Linked DNA regions of Astyanax mexicanus. The protein of the gene in region 1 interacts with the protein of each later gene in a pairwise test. Links are inferred from orthologs where the notes say so. Each region holds a gene or a part of one and is shown on either strand. Other genes may lie near its edges.

Region 1 (5,482 bases):
AAATATGCGGTGTTAGCATTAGCGATGTACTCTGTCCTAATTCTTGCACCAAACCCTAACGTCTTCTTTGAGATGTACACTTCAATGATGTTGCCATATAGGAAATAATAGGGTGGCAATAGTGTTGAGATCGAAATTGGGACACTTTACATCACATATACACCACTACTGCATCATGTTTCTGCAGGCTTGAATTAAGTTAAATTAAGTTAAAGAATTTCAGTATGAACTTCTGTCTTCAAAGAACAGTTTCTCTATCCTGATCATTTTTGTCCTGCACACTTTGAGATTTTCCTGCTCCAAATACACTTGATCAACTAATCAGATCATTAATACCTGCTTTTAGGGAAGGAGGGTGAGTTAAAGCAGATGAGTTCTGGAATATGTGCAGGTCAGGGAAATGATATAAAAGTGATTTGACTCATGATGCTGACTGTAATTTAGATGCACAATTTCAGTGTAGTTGAAAATATGAATGCAACAATGTATGAATTCTGGGCAGATGCAGATATTCGATGTTACACATGTATATATCTTCCAAAACTAATTCAGATATACACATTTATTATTAACAGTCTAAACACTCCGGTATACCTCTAGGAACAAACGTAACATTCATTTGCTTTGCATTGTAGCCTTAATCTAACTGAATGCAAACAATAAAATGAAAAATTTGCTTTCATATTTTGGGTTTCACATTTTTCTGGGTTTCAAATGTATTTAGCTAACTGGTCCTTACATAGTCTGTTCACAGCTTTAAACTTAAACTTTTTACCTTTTTAAAAACAAAAAAATACTGGGCTGAAATATCGGCCAAACCGGCTGATGCCGATTATAAAAAGAGAGGAAGTAATTATTATCCGAAATCGATTTAATTCTGATACCATTGTGCATCACTATTTTATACAAAATACAATAAAATATTTTATAAAAATACAATAAAATCTGAAAACATACTTTTTTCTGAGTGTTATATCAGTATATGTGATATATCGTGATATACAGTACCAGTCAAATTTTTGGACACACCCTCCTATTCTACGTTTTTTCTACAAGGTTTTCTGCATTGTAGATTAATATTAAATACATAAAAAGAAGGGAAAACATGTACGGAATGACATGGTAAACAGCAAAAAAGTGTTAGTCCTCCACAATCCCCTATTCTAAACCTGATCATCTGAGATGGTGATTTGAGTTGAGCTTAAGATTCAGGACCTCCAGGAACTCCTTCAAGACGCTGTGAAAACTATTCCAGGTGATTCTCCCTCATGAAGACACTGAGATTAAAGATCTGTCCTCAAAGATAAATGTGCTACTAATTCAGCATGTGTTCCTATATATCTTTACTGACAGTCTTCAAACTGTCTTAAAAAATGTACAATGTAAAAAAACATGAAAAGAAAAAATAACCACTTTTGTGTGGTAAAAGACACTTTTGAGTGGTAGTATATATCGTGTATATCAGGATATGAAATGTACTGTATTGGGATATGAATTTTTGCTCATATCGTACAGCCCTAGTGAGGAGAACCAGTGCCAGTCCAGGTTGGCAGGGCCTTGCCTGGCATCTCCTTACAGATCCTCCCCACAGTCAGACCCGGGGAATCAGCGTTTCCCCATCCCTCAGAGTCTCACCTACACTTCCACATCATCTGAGCTGATAAATAAAGCCTGTTGAGAAGATCTGAGCCGCACATCTGAAAGCCAGACTCACTAAACGCCATTTTCACACACATCTGCTGACAGACAGGCTAACGCTAAGCTAATGCTAAAGCTAAATACTGCCACTGTGGCCTAAACTAGCGATTAGCTAGCGGTGCTAACGTTAGCTTAGCATCACACACGAAGCCATAAACAGGCAGTTTCTGACAGACACGCACATAAATATCTGCTTAAACCCAGGAAAACGGGTCTAAAGATGTGTGTATATGTTTTTATACTACATTTCTCTATATTCTGTTAGCGCAGAATCTGACAGACTGCGCTAGTCAACGTTAGCATGCTGGCTAACTCCTTCCCCCACCCAGTCTGAAATAAAGCAGGCAGTAAATAACACCTAATTTCACCCAGTTTTCACTGATGTCCCACTCTGACAGCCGTGCAGTTTGTTTAAACGCGTGTTTTACTGTTAAAATGTGTAACCCACCCAAATTTAGGTTGCTTATTTTTCCTTCTACACGTCAATTTTCTAACCTACGTGTTACACCGAAATCTGTGATCTGCCGAATTCTGTCCACGTAAAGGCCGCTGTCAGAATCGGTAACCCCTTATGATTAAGCCTGTCTGCACTTTAACAGAGGAAAAACAACAATTAAAATATAACAATAAAAACATCCAATAAAATGATAAAACGATACAAATGCAATATTTATTTTTTGTTAGTTTTTATTGTTAATATAATTTAAAGTATGATAGTCTGCTTCTTGTGGATGTTATAAAAAGATTTTCCTCTCAATTCTTCACATAAAATATTTTTATTTTTTATTTAATCATCCAATCAATCAATCCATTAATAAACCTATACCTTTTTTTGCTTAATTTGCACTTCTGTCACATTCTTTAAAAGTGCTTTACGAGTGACTTACAACATTATAATAGATCTGGAATACCAAAATCTTTAGTTAATATGTTTAAACATTTTTAAAACATATATTTATTTTACTTTTGGGCTTGACTAGTACTGTACTAGTTCGTCTGTCTTCTTGTCGTTTTTGTATTATATCTAAATGCATAATTTTTTATTATCACATCCTAATCCTAATGTAATAATCTTTTATTTGTATTGATTTTTTTCAATCTTTTTTTTCAATTTTTTTTGGCTTGTACTTGTGATGCAAAATTCTTTAAACAACAATTTTTTATCATGTTGTTATTAATATAGCATATCCGACTCTTTTAAATAGCTAACTTACGTAGTCTGCGTAAGGAACTCGGATATAGCAGAACAGCACCCTCTAGGGTCACACAATTCGGCAGCTGCAGTTTTCGGTGTAACACGTTTTAAAAAAAAACAAGCAAACAGCTCAAGTAGGAGCAATAATCACCCCGTTTTCTCCACTGTGAGCCCATGTCTCACCCCGGGAGTGATCCGAGGGGTGAGTAGAGGAGTGAGTGAGGCAGTAAGGGAGTGTTAAGATCTTACCCGTGTCCCCGATGATGATGTATTTAAACAGGTACGCGTACGCCATCGCCCTCCGCTAATACAGCCCAGCAGCAGCAGCAGCAGCAGCTTTCTCCAGCAGAACACAGAGCTCTCCTCTCTCTCTCTCTTTCTCTCTCTGTGTTTCTCCTCTTTTCTCCCTCTATCCCTCTCTCTCTCTCTCTCTCTCTCTCTCTCTCTCTTTTCTCTCTCTATTCTCTCTATCTCTGCGGCTCTGTTGTTTCTCTCTGCGCGTCGCTTTTATTAAAGGAACAATAAAAACAGCCGAGCGTCCCGGAGCTCCAGCAGCTGCTGCGTCACACAGACCGCCTCCGCCACGCAACCGGAACTGCACGAGAGCGAGCAGACCAGCGAGCGCGAGCACGAGCAGTGGAGAGCGCAGGCACGAGCACGCGCACGCACATACGAACTACCTGTACCTTGTTTTTTTGTCAGATTTTTAAAGATAAACAAAGGTGTGAAAAGTATCCGTAGGTAGAAGTATAGACACTAGGGTTTAAAATACTTCTGTAGAAGTTGAAGTATTAACTCAAGCTTTTTACTATTTAAGTAAAAGTGTAAATGTACTGTTTTCAAAACTACTTAAAGTATAAAAGTAAAAGTAATATAAGAGGAAAAAATAAAGCTAGTAAGAACAAAAGCTTAGGCCGCTTCCTAGAGTCCTATAGTGCTCTAATCCCCCTCCTCCCCAAAACACATTTGTCTAAAAGCCATAATGACTTTAATGTTATAATAAAATGTTAAAGTTTATAAATTTGGGATGCACTCGGCTCCCTGTTTCAGCTGCATACAGTGGTATTAAAAAGTTTGGGCACCCCTGATTGTTTTCATGATTTTTCTTTATAAATCATTGGTTGTTCTGAACAGCAATTTCAGTTAAATATATCATATAGCAGATGAACACAGTGATATGAAGTGAAATGAAGTTATAGGATTAACAGAAAGTGTGCAATAATTATTTAAACCAAATTTAAACCAAACCCATGTCATTTTATTGATTTGAATATCTTTAGCACTAATTATTGTAACACAAAATGTGTTTGGTAAGCCCACTGACCCTTGACCTACATACACAGGTGAATCCAATTATAAGAAAGGGTTAAGGAGCCAATTGCAAGTTTTCCTCCTCTTTGCATCTTTTCTGAAGAGCAGCAACATGGGAGCCTCAAAACACACAACTCTCAAATATTGTTTAACATCATGGTGTTTAGAGTAAGGATACAAAAAGCTCAAATCTCAGAGATTTCAGCTGCAGTTTCCACTGTGAGGAACAGAGTGAGGAAATGGAAGAACCACAGACACAGTTCAAGTTAAGACCTGAAGTGACAGAACAAGAAAAATCTCAGATAAACAGAGGAGAAGATAGACAACCCACAGACCTCCAGAGCTCCAAACACCTACATCATCATCCTGCTGCAGATGGAGTCACTGTGCATCGTTCACTATTCACTATTCAGTGCACTTTACACAAGGAGAGGCTGTATGGGAGAGAAATGCAGAAGAAGCCTTTTCTGCGCCACAAACAGAGTCGCTTGAGGTAAAGATAAAGCTAAAGCACATTTAGGCAAGCCAGCTTCATTTTGGAATAAATTATGTAGAGGGCAGTTATTTATGCATGGAGGAAAAAGAACACAGCATTTCAACACAAACACTTTACTGCTCCCCACAGTAAAATCTGGTGGTGGTTCATCATGCTGTGGGGTTGTGGGACCAGTGCAGAAACTGGGAATATTGTTAAAGTTGAGGATCACATGGATTCCAGTCAATATCAGCAGATTCTTGAAAACAATGTTTAATTCAATTCAAATTTATTTATATAGCCTTTTTTTTAACAACAAAAGTTGTCACAAAGCAGCTTTACAGAGAAAACTGGTGTAAGCCTCTTATGAGCAGCACCACAGTAATGCCAATAATTGTGGTGACAGTGGCAACGAAAAACTCCCTTACATTAGGAGGAAGAAACCTTAGGAGAAACAAAGACCATGTTTTGTAGGATGAAAGCTTACCTTTAACCAGAAGCCAGAATCTGATTGGAAGCTATAGAAAGAGTAAATACTAAATATTGATGTAAATTTTCTGTTGGGATGCTCAAATTTATGCACCTGCCTAATTTAGTTTAATTAATTAATTATTGCACACTTTCTGTAAATCCTATAAACTTCATTTCACTTCTCAAATATCACTGTGTTCATCTGCTGTATGATATATTTAACTGAAATAGCTGATCCAAACAACCAATGATTTATAAAGAAAAATCATAAAAATGATCAGGGGTGCCCAGACTTTTTCATACCACTGTATATGTCCATTGAATATTAATGT
Region 2 (5,482 bases), on another chromosome or scaffold:
TAATATTATTTACAGCATAACCAGCTTTTAAAAAAAAAAAACAACACACAAAAAGATAAGTGCTGTGAGGAGCTGCCACTGTCCTCCAGAAAAAAGAAGCTGCTCCTGCTGCTAAAGGAGCTCAACATAAGTGTCTGTACCTCTGCTCAAACCATTCTGTGGAGGGAAACCCAGTTCTGAAGCTCCAGTAAAGTGGATGTGCTGGTTCTTTGTGGCTGGCGGTTAAACGGCACAGCAAGCCCGACCCACATGCTTTGCCCGTGCTTCAAATCCAAGCTATTTCTCTGGGTTAGGATGTTCTGGTGTTGGCTGGTCCTCTATTTAATGTTAACATCAAATGTTTTTGTGTCTAGATATATGTGTTACATTTAGTCCTGTCAACTACAGACATAGCTCCTCTTCTGTGGAAGATGGTGGATGGACATTAAATCAAAACTCCTATCTTTTTGTGTTGTGTTCAGAACTCTCATGCTGTTCATGTATTTTTTTCCTATTTTCACAGTTACATTCTGTTACTAACTGAGTATATTATACTACTCATGCTCTACATTTACTATCACTGTGGGTGTAACTAATACCAATGGTCTGCTGCTGCACTGGAAATTCCAATACAAATTAAACAACTAATGAGGCTAAAAGTCGACACCTTCACTTCCACCTGCACACACTCACCCATTGAGCTCAAACGCTCGTATAAGGATGTGCTGCAACACCTCCAGGGATGTAATTTGTGGATCAACTGCAAAGGAGCGAAACTCCACTGGCAGGATTCCCTCACATTTCTGTATAAAGACAAAAAGAAAGGAGCAAATCAGCAATCAGCAAAATTGTACTTTGAATTGAAAGATATTTCATAAAAATGTCCATAAATTAGGAATTGAGTAACTGATGTAAACCTGCATTAGGAAACTACAAATCTAGCTGTCAGTCAATTTGATACAATTCCAATATCGTTATGAACAATATAAAGGCCACCACGCTTGTTGTAGGCAATCAAGCACTGACAGGGGTGGGTGATACCGTAAACATATTTTATCACAATATTTAAAGACATTTTCATGATACACAGTATTTATCATATTTTGACACATAGACATAATGCATTAGCAGAGGCAGATTCAGTAGTGATTCTTATTTCATTTTTGCTGCACGTCATCCAAATTAACAGGAAGTTTATTTATACAATCTATGTAATGAAATGGACAGTTAGGTCTGTGTTATTTTAGCACTGATGATCTCCTTAATATGCTCAATAAGTTCTATGTCATAAAATTGAAATAGATCACAATAAAATCAAATATCGATATATTTTCCAGTTCTATGTCATAACATTTAAATTGATCACAATAAAACCAAATATCGATATATTGTCCAGTTCTACATCATGACAATTAAATTTATCACGATATGATAAAATATCTATATCTATATATATTGTCTAGCTCACGTCATGACAATGAAATTGATCAAAATACGATAAAATATCAAGATACTGTCCAGCTCTTTTTCATAATAATGAAACTGATCACAACATATTAAAAAAACAATATACTGTCGAGCTTTACATCATGATAATTAAACTGATTACAGTAAAACTAAATATCAATATATTGTCCAGCCTTATGTCATGATAATGAAATTAATCACAATGTGATAAAATATAGATTATATTGTCCAGCTCAATGTCATTATAATAAAACTGATCACAATATAATAAAATATCAATATATTGTACAGCTCTACCTCATGATAATGACATTGATCAAGATAGAATAAAATAAATAGAGAGTTTAGGTTGTTTTTTGATGATCACACAAAAAAGTGACAAGCTTCTACCCGTGGCTTTGTTTTTCTCCACATTTTAAGCTTATTTATTTAACGAGCTTCCCCTGAAGAGAAAAAGACAAACAGAGAAAAGCACACAACACAAGAATACTAACGTTAACTAATTAAGCTACTATTGAGTGACTAACAGAAGCCAGACAGCGGTTCATGAATAACAAACGGACCAGGTGATAAAAATGACTTGTAATATGATACCTAGGTAGATACCTAGCTAGCTAGGACATCTGACATGTTTTAAACGTAAAATACAGCATTAAAACAGATGGTAGTTAAATATTTGACCGGCTGTAGTAGGCTAGCTTAGCTAGATAGCTAGCTAGGTTACGTTAGTTGGCTAGCAACTAATAAACAGGTTGGAAATACGCTAGCTTTATTATTATTATTTTATTATTTTCTTACGTTAAGAGAGTCTAATCGGGCTAATCTGAGTTTTTTTGTGTGTGTCAGTGTTCGCGGACAGGTGGATAACATAGCTTTAGGTAATATTAGCCCAGCTGCTGCACTTCTCAGCATCTGTTATACAGTAAATACACTAGTGTTAGCGGTTAGCCGTTAGCCGCTGTGTTATTGTCCGCTCCCCGCGCTCCGGTGTTCCGTCGAGTTTTGCTACCCATCAATAGATGCTTATTTAAGGTAAAGCGCATGCGCCGTCCAACATATATATTTTTTGGAATATGTTTTCATGTTTTTCTAGATAATTCCTTAAGTTTTTATTGGGAGCATTAAACAGCCTGTTTGCATGTTACAAAACACTGTAAGTAGAAGTTAAATATAACAATAAACTAGCTGTACATTGTTGTTTTACCATGTTTAACTGCACTACCTCCAGTACACACACGAAAGTAGACTCTACTTTTATACTTTTTTTTTATTGTATTTTTACCTGCATCATTCTATCTTATCATTTTTTTTACCATCTGTGTACTATGTATACCTGCTACGTCCAGAGTTTCCCTCTGGAATCAATAAAGTATAAGTTACATCTAACTTACTTATTTATAAATAAAAAACTGTGGAAAAAACGGTTTCTAATCACGTAAATTACCTTAACTTTTTTAAATTTACCTAATACAGTGATTTAGCCTATCCACATATCCTACCTAGGCCTCTGCTAAGAGTATTTTCTATTACGGGTTCTAATATTTCTGTATTTTTAACTTAAAAAAAAGAAATACTACAAGGGTAGCACGCTTTCACAGGGTAGCACAACTATACAGAACACCGGCTCTCGGCTCTTGGCTCCCGGCTCCTGGCTCCCGGCTCCAGGTCCCCCCGCCGCCCCGGCTCCTCACCTTGACTTTGACACGAACTACCCCCCTCTCCTCCTCGACCGACATGGCGGGTAGTCCACGCTGAAACCCTCGCTCAGGAATCCTCCACCTTCATCCACAATATTAAGCTGAAACGTGGCCAAACGCCGATGTTGACTCCACTGCTCTCCCCTTCTTCTCTCTGCAGCTTTGGCAGAAAGAACGTCAACGAACGAAGCCAAGCGGGCAGATTTCACAATAAAAGCAGGTGTGAGAAAACAAAGCCTTGATTACTTTAATACCCATAATGTATTTAGAAAATAGAAGAAATGAACATAAAACAATACAATAATGAATTACATCCTTAAAAATGCATAATACAAATTATTTGTTAAGGAAAATCTTTATTTAGAAGATAAAATTGACCTCGCACCGCTAGATGGAGCCCGCGATTGAGTCCTCAATGAATGGGGTGAATTGAGAAAAACAGCAAAAAACTTAAATTAAAAATAGTAAATAACTATATTTCAATGATATTCAGTACATTTTAGAAATTATAATAAGGTACTTTAAAACCCACAAAAAACTTTACCGTTTCGTTTCTCTACAGCGAAAGGGTTTTGGGTAGAAGTGTCACTAGCATGACTGCTACTGTGAGCTGAGTGGTTGGTGAGCTGATGCTGATGCAGAAGTTACAATTATGTTAGATCCCAGAGATAAAAAGGTTTAAGCTGCAGTTAAAAAGCTTTAAAATTAATGCCTTCAGTACTGAAACATTTGCTATTGGGATCCACCCTTACATCCAATCAAATCCACCTATCCATCCATTCACCAATTCATTCATACAACCATCTATATATATGGTTGTATAGATATACAGCTCTGAAAAAAAAGAAACCACTTAAAATTGATAAGTTTCTTAGATTTTACAAATTTGAAAACCTCTTTATAATATAATCCAGAGGAAGATGGATGACCACAAGCTACCAAACCAAGCTGAACTGCTTGAATTTTTTAACCAGGAGTGGCATAAAGTGATCCAAAAGCAGTGTGTAAGACTGGTGGAGGAGAACATGTCAAAATGCATGAAAACTGCGATTAAAAGCCAGGGTTATTCCACCAAATATTGATTTCTGAAATCTTAAAACTTTTTTAATATAAGCATGTTTTCTTTGCATTATTGAGGTCTGCATCGCTTTTGTTATTTCATCCATTTCTCTTTTTCCGCAAATAAAAGCTCTAAATGACAATATTTTTATTTTGAATTTGGGAGAAATGGTGTCCGTAGTTTATAGAATAAAATACCAATGTTCATTTTATTCATATACCTATAATAGGTATGTATATTCTAAATATATACTGATAAACCTGGACTGTAAAGTGCGTAAGTGCGTATTCTCCTCTGTAGAGGTTCTCTGGCCTGGCTTGGCGTCAGCAGGCGCCAGAGAGGCACATGACATCATATGTCCATTACTTCATTTTATTTATATCTACAGTCGCAAACGATGATTTAAATAAAGGTTATATTGATTTGGAGGAAGGCTGTAATTAAGTGTTTTATAAATCATCCAGGTTTATCAGTATATATATATATATATATATATATATATATATATATATATATATATATATATATATGTAAATATAAAATAATATATACTGACGAACCTGAATTGTAAAGTGGGTATTCTCTTTTGTATATATCGTATTATGCGTATTATGATAAAACAATATTATTTTTTATGTTCAAAAGTAACGCTTACTCAGGTCTGCCGTGACCCGGATTCGAACCGGGGTTGCTGCGGCCACAACGCAGAGTACTAACCACTATACGATCACGGCGAGCTACCAGAGCACTGGAGGAGCGACCGGTGGGTTCCGCTCTAGAGCGTTTATAAAGGGACTGTCACAGACGGGTTAAACAGGATCCTGATCACTCTGATATTTAAACATTGAATAAACCTTTATTTTTTGGGTTGCATTACATCTTTTAGGGGTAATAATTGAAAAATTACATTTATACAAAGTTTATTTAACATTGATTAATAATTAACGTTATGGGTTGGTGTTAAAATTCTGACACTGAATCAACATTTATTAAAGGTTTTGAATGGTTAATGCTCTTCTGTATCTAACGTTACACTCACTGTGATGCCTCCCACAAATAATCATATTAATAACTATTATTTAAATGTCGCTGCAAGACTACAGGCTAAAATAAAAATATATATCCAGATTTATTAGCATACATATTAATTAATTCTGATTCTAATTCAATATATTAAAGACAAAATACCAATAGTGTGCAGATCTGTCCTCAAAGATAAATGTGCTACTTTGTTTAACACTTTTTGATATACAGAATAATTCTGTAAATGTTCATATAT

The links. The genes of interacting proteins can lie anywhere in the genome.
Region 2: the proteins of rab2a (region 1) and tbc1d25 interact in binary tests that used the Homo sapiens proteins (3 or more experiments, as listed by UniProt). The link is inferred for Astyanax mexicanus from reciprocal best matches to the Homo sapiens genes RAB2A and TBC1D25.

Annotation. Positions count from the first base shown.
Region 1 is NC_064425.1:41,319,014-41,324,495, reverse strand, and holds the start of rab2a (ras-related protein Rab-2A), read right to left. Parts: upstream 3,491-5,482; 5' UTR 3,189-3,490; coding exon 3,143-3,188; intron 1-3,142.
Region 2 is NC_064419.1:40,392,132-40,397,613, reverse strand, and holds the start of tbc1d25 (TBC1 domain family member 25), read right to left. Parts: upstream 3,337-5,482; 5' UTR 3,183-3,336; coding exon 3,138-3,182; intron 783-3,137; coding exon 673-782; intron 1-672. UniProt on the Homo sapiens protein: Acts as a GTPase-activating protein specific for RAB33B. Involved in the regulation of autophagosome maturation, the process in which autophagosomes fuse with endosomes and lysosomes.